Canis lupus familiaris: one gene and its partner. The protein of the gene in region 2 binds, or shares a complex with, the protein of the main gene of each other region. Links are inferred from orthologs where the notes say so. Each region holds a gene or a part of one and is shown on either strand. Other genes may lie near its edges.

The links. The genes of interacting proteins can lie anywhere in the genome.
Region 1: the proteins of RAD18 (region 2) and UBE2B are in contact, whole or in part, in a crystal structure (PDB 2YBF), measured with the Homo sapiens proteins. The link is inferred for Canis lupus familiaris from reciprocal best matches to the Homo sapiens genes RAD18 and UBE2B. Residues at the interface, in NP_064550.3 of Homo sapiens: Tyr342, Arg343, Lys344, Lys345, His346, Lys347, Glu349, Phe350, Leu353, Val354, Gln356, Ala357, Arg358, Lys359, Gly360, Tyr361; in NP_003328.1 of Homo sapiens: Pro20, Val22, Gly23, Val24, Ser25, Gly26, Ala27, Ser29, Glu30, Gln35, Asn37, Ala38, Val39, Phe41, Gly42, Pro43, Glu44, Glu49, Asp50, Lys54, Leu55, Val56, Leu73, Ser74, Asp151, Ser152.

The regions. Positions count from the first base shown.
Region 1 is NC_049232.1:22,531,303-22,535,413, reverse strand, and holds the start of UBE2B (ubiquitin-conjugating enzyme E2 B), read right to left. Parts: upstream 2,941-4,111; 5' UTR 2,797-2,940; intron 2,183-2,796; exon of another isoform or gene 2,061-2,182; intron 1,632-2,060; 5' UTR 1,607-1,631; coding exon 1,563-1,606; intron 1-1,562. Other genes in the region: uncharacterized protein LOC119876780, read right to left, coding at 2,973-3,027, 3,911-4,111. UniProt on the Homo sapiens protein: E2 ubiquitin-conjugating enzyme that accepts ubiquitin from the ubiquitin-activating enzyme E1 and transfers it to a E3 ubiquitin-protein ligase. In vitro catalyzes 'Lys-11'-, as well as 'Lys-48'- and 'Lys-63'-linked polyubiquitination.
Region 2 is NC_049241.1:9,230,889-9,235,157, reverse strand, and holds the start of RAD18 (E3 ubiquitin-protein ligase RAD18), read right to left. Parts: upstream 2,809-4,269; 5' UTR 2,701-2,808; coding exon 2,650-2,700; intron 1,984-2,649; exon of another isoform or gene 1,909-1,983; intron 1-1,908. UniProt on the Homo sapiens protein: E3 ubiquitin-protein ligase involved in postreplication repair of UV-damaged DNA. Postreplication repair functions in gap-filling of a daughter strand on replication of damaged DNA.

The DNA.
Region 1 (4,111 bases), on a different chromosome or scaffold from region 2:
ATATTCAATTTAATTAGGAAACTAGTTTTAGGAGAGTAGCCTTCTCCTATTTGCTTCAATTAGCAGTAGCTTTTAAAGTAATCAAGCTTCAGTTAGGTTTTTTCATCAGTCGCTATTTTAAAGATCTGCGCTACAGCTAAATCTACCTCTTTTATCAAGAGACTCGATACAAAGCTACCTTCCAACACTTGTCATAATCAAATTTTTGTAACCTGAAGCCCCTTGGAAAACTACCAAAGGTGCCATGTGTTCAATTCAGAATTAACAGAGAAAGGCAGTAATAAACCAGAGTAACAATGGACACGAACTGCAAGTTTTATTATTTGGATTTCACTCTTCGGAGCTAACGTGAAATTTGATTTTAAGCTTCAGAAGACAAACTTTTAAAACAAATATAGCATTTTATATACATATATCAATATGTAGTGATTGTCACATAGATACTTTGAAATTAGTCTACATAAAAATAGTTCTCTCCAGTCAACCTCAAACACATCAAGCCTCGATAACCAGAAGCCTTAATGGATTTATGCTGCTTCTAGCCCACTGAAAGTACATTAGGAATATATTCAATGATAAACTGCCCAAAGCCTAAAACAATGGCTTCCAAATGCCTCACCTATGGCTTTATAATGGCGAAGTTAAAAGGTTGCTTCCTGGACAGCTAACCCAAGTTTCTATGAGCAGGTCTCCCCAAGAAAACAACAAAACCCCCACAAAACGTGCAGTGGATCGTAATGGTAAGTTTTCTTATTTTTATCGGCCTCCGTACTTCCAAGTATCCAAAGGTAAACTGAAAAAAAGGTCACTTCCTCCTTACTAACCCCAACACCTCCTAACAAAACCCTATTTTACAAAAGGAGGCCGAGCGAGTATCAGGTTAGCGCCAGTCTCAAGGAAGGCATTTTTCCAGACTTTGGAGGCTATAGATAGGGCTTTAGACACCAGGCCACAGAGCTGAGTTCCAGAAGGCCCTGGCAGCCCAGCCCGGGCTCCCAGCCCGAGTCCCAGCTCTCTAAGCCAGTTCTCAAGGTCCTTTCGGGCGGCGAGGGAGAGTCGGGTTTCCGAGGATGGGTTAATAACCCCCGGACCTCGCGCTGCAGACCCCACCCTCGCTGCAGAGAGAATGGGGGGGGGGGGGCGCTTTTCATCCCAACCCTGCCCCTCAGCTAAGACCGCAGAGCCATCCAGCAAAACTGGTGCAGCAAGCAGGGAATATGATTCTGCAAGGGTCTGCTTTGGGGGGACAGAGGAAGGGGAAATGAAGCTTGAGCTCTAGGACTAGACGTCGGGGGGCTGACCCAAGTGGGCAGCGGGGAACCCTAGGACAAACCATAGCCATCTTTTTACTTTTGGGGGAGGGGTACCGAAATTTCTTACGTCGGCAGAGTGAGCAAGGATGAAGGAGTGCGAACCGGGACTGGGGCTGGGCTTCCTTCGGGACCCCTGGGCCCAGAGGAGGCCCTCTTAGGGTTAGGAGAGGAAGGTGTCCCGGATCCCCGCCCTGCAGCCCCATAGCTGTGGGGAGGAGCCGTCATCCAGGCGGAGGTGAGCGCCCTTACCGCTTGAAATCCCGCATGAGCCTCCTCCGGGCCGGAGTCGACATGCTCCCCAGCTGCCCCGCGGTCAGTCTGAAAGAAAAGAGTCCCGCGCAGCCCCCCCACCCCCCGGCGCGGCGGCCGAATCACTGTGGGTCACCGCCGCCGCCGAGGCTGCACAAACAACCCTGCAATGACGTCTCCCTCCGCCGCCTCCAGATCCCTCCGCCCTCCGCCAGTACCACGGGGTGAGGGGGTTGGGGGAGAAGGGCACGGGGCGTCTAGACCCGTTTTGGGAGCTCTGCGGCAGGGCTCTACCAATTTTGGCTTCCTAATATAATAGATAAATTAGTCCTCTCTGTTCTCTGATTGGAGGTTGTGGATTAAGAGACCCCGAAACCGAAACACCATCCTATGCCTCCCCCTTTTAGTAGTTTAAGCTCGACCGGGTGGGGACAGAGAGCCGCATCCGGGGCCAGAGATTTCAGGGAAAGGAGGTGGGATGACGTAAGGTCACGTGACCGCCGGCGGCGTTGTCAACAATCCACCCCTGAGGGGGAGGGGACGAAGTATCTAGAACCACGTGTCCCTATGACGAGGTTGGAACGGATCACGTGAAAGTGTCGTCTGAATCTGAGTCTCAGGTCTATGGAGCGGGTAGTTAAGTTTATGGGGTTGAGGGCGGGTATGGGTCTTTAGTAAGTTTTCCCTCCAGTTTCATGAAAAGGGTCTGCGGTCGTGGCGGAAGCAAAAGCTTGTTTTGCTTAAGTTTTAAAAACAGCTAAAAGTAATACGGACTTAAAATCTTTTCTGGTTGATTCAGTGGCTTATCAAATCTGGTACCTGGGGCAGAGTGAGGGAACCTCTGTTTTTCATAATTAGCCCAGCATTGAAATGTTGAGGCCCACACCAACTAAAATTCCCCGAAATGCTTCCATGAGGCCACCAAAGAGCCTGTATGTGCATCACAATGGGGTTTGCAGGGTTGGAAATTCCGAAGACAAAAAAAAAATGGTATAGAGATTGTCTTAAGGTTTGTTGACTATCTCTATGGAATTACAGAATTTTATTTTAACATAAGCCTCCTCTCATTTGAGGATTGGTGTCAAAATGTGTCAAAGTCCATGACTGGCTAAGATAGGGTACATGGAGATGAGATCGCAAAGCATTTAGAAGGGTGGCTGGTTGTCAAGAAAGCCTAAAAACTTGGATGTGGGGAAGAGATTTTGCAGACGTGGGTGGGAGTTATATAGCTAACCTGGATAACTCATTTCAGGTTTCCTACACCAGCAAGTAAGGTGCAGATGGGTCTGAGATGTCCACCAGGTTGCTCAGAGGTGTTGAGTTCCCTCCTTCCATTGCCTTTGATTCCTGGCCTCAGGGCTTTGCTGGTCTGGAGGACTCTGAACACCTTATATCCTTCTGGGTAATTCTTCAGCCCAAGGCATAGTGGGAGCGTTGCACCAAGTTGCCCATAGTTTCCTGGAAACTGAAAGCGTTAATTTCCCTCACTTTCTTGCTGTCTCCTTTTCTCAAAACCCTGAATTCTATCTTTTGCTTTTATAACTTCATTGGTGATCAAGTAAGCCAAACCTAACTCTTGATAGGTTCTGCGATGCATCCACAAATGAAATTCTGAAAGTTAAAAGCTGAATATTCTCATCTTTTGCCTCCCACAGTAGCGATCCTAATTCTCACCATAGCTAAGGATGAAGACATACGGGTCAGTATGTATGCAGTAAAATGCCAAAGAAAATCTTCAAAAAATATCCCTATTGGATCATTAGGTAGCAATGTGTAATTGTTCTGGAATCTCACAGTGTATGGAGGCTGTCAGGCCAGCAGAACCCCATGTCTAGTTTTTAAGCAATTAGATAATGTTTATCCCCCTTTTGCTGTGTCCTTTTATGTCGATTTGTTTTCTCAAGGAGGGCGTTTCTAAAAAGGAGTACTACGAGTTCGAAAAATTTCTAAGCATATAGCAAGTGTTCAAGAAACATTAAGAACCGTCTTAACCCCGTCTTAAGGATGAATGCCGACCCCTGTGGTCGAACTCAGGTCTATGGAATATTAATATAAATAGGTAACTTAGACGACCGTAATTACACAAGACTTCCTTGGAAGACTTGTTTTACAATGTGTCTCTATTTCACGACTCAAGCCATCCTTTTAGGACCCAGCACCTGCGGCATGTTGTTCTTTGGCCTGGGAGCAAGCCTCCACCCTTCTCTAGGAGACAGACTCTCGGGGCAGTAAAATGTGGATCCTCCCCTCACCTCTGCTCAAAACTCAAAACCAACCTTGTGAGTTGGTCTCAACCCATATAATCCCCACCCCGACCCCCAGAAAGCTTTCCCTGAGCCTAAGCCCACCGGCAACTCATTTTCAACCCTTTATGATTTTCTCTTCCGGGTCGGGCCGGGCCGGGCCGGGCGGATGTTCCTGTCTTGCGCAGTAGGTCCCGAGCGCGGGGGGTCTGCGGCGCCGTTGCCATGGTAGCGGGCTGCCGGAAGCTAGCCGCGCTCGCCAGCTCGGAAGCCTCGGTGTCCGGTTGTTCAGCCGGGTCTGCGCGG
Region 2 (4,269 bases):
GGAAAACACTATGGAGGTTCAAAAAGTTAAAAACAGAAATATTACATGATCCAGTAATTCCACTACAAAGTATTTACCCAAAGAAAATGAAAACACCAATTTGAAAAGACATATGCAATATGTTTATTGCAGCATTATTTACAATAGCCAAGATAGGGAAGCAACCAATGTCAGTGGTTGCATAGAGAAGATGTGGTACATATATATATACAATGTAATATTACTCAGCCATAAAAAAGAATAAGATCTTGCCATTTGTGACAACACGGATGGACCTAGAGGGTATTATGTATGCCAAGTGAGTAAGTCTGACAGAAAGGCAAATACCATACCATTTCACTTTTATGTGGAATCTAAAAAACAAAACAAACAAAAAAGCCAGACTCTTAAATACAGAGAACTTGTGGTTGCTAGGAAGGTGAGAGGTGGGCAAAACAAAGAGTATTAATAAGTACAAACGGTAAAAATAAAATACAGAGCTATTAGAAAAATAGAAAACACTAGCAGGGGCTGGCTTTCCACCATGATTCTAATATGGGCTCAATCAACTCCATCTCTGCACACTCTTGGGTGCTGAACCCTATATTCAATGCTGTGGTGAGACATCAAATCCTGCCTCTAAGTACATGGAATCTGCCTCTAAAGAACACTGTGGAAGTCGTGGTAAAATAAGCTTAAATCTACAAACCAAGAAGCTTTACAAGCCGCAGAGCTTTGACTTCCTTTATCCAATTCAATCTTCCAAATAACAAATAAAAATGGGGGAAAGAAATACTTACTGCATGTTAAGTACTAATGATAATAATAGAGGGGCAGCCCAGGTGGCCCAGGGGTTTAGCCCTGCTTCAGCCCAGGGCGTGATCCTGGAGACCCGGGATCAAGTCCCACATCTGGCTCCCTGCATGGAGCCTGCTTCTCGCTCTGCTGTGTCTCTGCCCCTCTCTCTCTCATGAATAAATAAAATCTTTTTTAAAAAATGATAATAAAAAAAAATAAATAAATAAAAAAAAAAAAAAAAAAAAAAGATAATAATAAAGACATATTAACTGAATGCTTACTACCTTCCAGATACTTAGAACCTTCAACCAATTAGATAATCTCTGAGCATGTTCTATGTGTCAGGCACTGGTAAGCATAGTGAATAATAAGCCAGACAAGATCCCTATCTACACACATCAACTCATTTAACCAATCCCATAAACTATTTCTCTTTGTCTCCACTTTATAGTTGAGGAAATTCTGGCTCAGAGAGGTTAAGTAACCCACTCAAGATCACACAGTTAAATAAGAGTCAGCGGCTAGATTTAAACCAAGACCACTGGATCTCAAATCTATGTGCTCCTCCACCGTACTTTTTTTTTTTTTTTTTTTTTTTTTTTTTAAAGACACTATCTATGGGATCCCTGGGTGGTGCAGGGGTTTGGTGCCTGCCTTTGGCCCAGGGCACGATCTTGGAGACCTGGGATCGAGTCCCACGTCGGGCTCCCTGCATGGAGCCTGCTTCTCCCTCTGCCTGTGTCTCTGCCTCTCTCTCTCTCTGTGTGTGACAATCATGAATAAATAAATAAAATCTTAAAAAAAAAAAAAAAAAAGACTATTTACTCATGAGAGAGAGAGAGGCAGAGACACAGGCAGAGGGAGAAGCAGGCTCCATGCAGGGAGCCCGATGTGAAACTCGATCCTGGGACTCCAGGATCAGGCCCTGGGTCAAAGGCAGGCGCTGAACCGCTGAGCCACCGAGGCGTCCCTCCTCCACGGTACCTTGACCCCAAGGTCACAACTCCAAAACGACATGTTTCCTAGATGCTTCCACAACGTCAGCTTTTCACCACGGGGCCATCTCAAGTCCTCAAGCACTGTGGATGACCCTGGTGATGGCAAGAAGAAACGCCTTATTCTTCTACTAACCTTCCCCAAATCCCTTCACTTACTCCTCAAAGTCAGTCTTCAGCGTCAGTGGGACAGGTACCGTAATCCCCAAATCTACAAAAATGAGGAACAGAACCAGAAAGTGACCTTGCACGCAAACAGAAATACACAATTACGGAGCACGAGGGGGGAAAAAAAGCAAGCGACCGATGCTTAAGCTCGCACGGCCCAGCGTGTGTGTTTGCTGCTGCCGCAGCGCAGCAGGAACCCAGGGCTCACGGCCACTGTAACCCGGCCTGGGATGCCTTGGCCAAAAACAAACCAATGTCACTGAAGGGAAAGGATGGAATGAGATGAAAGGCTGGTGCAGAGCCTGAGCCCTGGTCTCGTTTCAGAGGGAGGCGCACGAGTGTCAGGCGTTGGGGCACGTCCGGGAGGCGCCAGGGCAAGCCAGCGCTAGGGGATGGGAGACGAGGCAGCAGGCAGAGCAGGTGCGCCCCCGTCAGCCACCGCCGCTGTCACTGCGGGGGGGGGGGGGGGCGTTCCCCTCGAGGTCATTGCTACTCTCGTGGCTGAACGGCTCGGCGCCGGTGCCCCCCACAAGGGACCGAGGCCGGACCCCGCCACTTCGCAGCAACAGGAAACCGAGGCCCAAACCACCGGGTCGCTGAGCGGCAACCGGCCCAGCTCGCGGCGCCCGTCTCCTCCTCTTGCCCTCTCAAGGCGGGGCTGGCCTCCGGCGCACACCCCGGTGCACCCAACCTCCCCCCGAGCACTCACCTTCATGACCGCCAGGCCTGGAGGCCACCGAGACTCGACTAGGGAGTCCATGGTCTGCCCTGAGGAAGCTGGGGGGCTCGGCACCCACTGGCCTCCCGCGCTCCGCCGCTACTCGAAATTCCCCGCGCTACGCATGACAGCATCAGCCAGCGACGCGCCTGAGGCGAGCGCGGAGCCTGCTGGAAGTTGTAGTACGTGGGCGGAGCGCAGCCAAAGACGCTCTCACTGCGCACGCGCGGAGCTTCCCTTGGCCTCTCCGAGCCTTTAAGCGGTTAAAAAGCACACATCGAGCTTCCCTAAGGTGGCTCAGCGGTTTGGCCCCCCTGCCTTCGTTCCGGGGTGTGATCCTGGAGACCCGGCCTCGAGTCCCACGTCAGGCTCCCTGCACGGAGCCTGCTTCTCTCTCTGTCTCTCATGAATAAATAAAATCTTAAAAAAAAAAAGCGAAAAAAATAAATAAAAAATAATAATAAAAAAATAAAGCGCACATCAGGTTTTGCACACGAGTAGAGTCACAAATAAGGGCCTCTGGACTTTGAATAGTTCTTTCTTTTCTCAAGATAAAATTTTAATTTATTTTACTTTTCTGCAGGGATAAACCACCTTAACTCTGGCATGTTGCCTTTCAGATATTTCCTGTGCAGATATACAAATAATTGCTCCCCCCCCCATATCATTACATTAAATACATAGCTTTGTCAACTTGAGTTTTCTATTTATTTAACTATACATCTTAAGACCTCTCCATATTAATGATGTACATATTTACCTCATTCTTTTCAATAGCCACGTAGTCTATAACATAGATGTATCATAATTTATTAACCTGGTCCCATACTGTAGGACATTTAGGTTATTTCCAGTTTTCCATTATTGCAAAGAGTTGCAATGAACACACTATATGAACCTTGGCGCGTTTGGGCCAAGATATCTGGGGGATGATTTCCTATCAATGGAATTACCGGCTCAATTTGTGAATTTGTGTACTCTTTTAAAATTATGATAACTAGCACTAAATGATTTTTCAAAAAGGCTGATTTATACTAATACATTTATACATTTATACTCTCACCAACCAGTGTAAGAATGCCTGTTACCAAAAAAAAAAAAGAAAAAAAAATGCCCATTATGCAAATGTGAAGCTGACCAGCACACCACCCAGTCTGTGTATTTGACTCAGCACTCACCCACTGCCTTATGAGGGTCTCCATTGCATCAGGTCTCATAGCCAGTAAGTTTAGTTACATTGCTCAAGGGAGACCCCTGCTACTTGCCACTGGTACCCCACATGGTCCAGGCATTCATTCATTCAACAAATACTTTTTTTTTTTAAAGCACTTACCATTGTTCAAGCACTTGAGCTACCCTCTGAAACAGGCAGAGGTAAAGTTGTTGCCATAATACAGATAAAGACGCTGAGGCTCAGAGAGGTTAAGGCTTCACTTCTTTGAACTGTCTTCACAAGAAACTCTGGCACCCAATTGATTTTTCCCAACCTATGCCCAAATATTCATTGAACAATAATAATATTAACAGCATTTGGACAAAAAGGACTTTTAATACTTATTGCAATAATAACTGACATTCATTACGTGCTTGCATGTAAAGCATTGTTGCAGT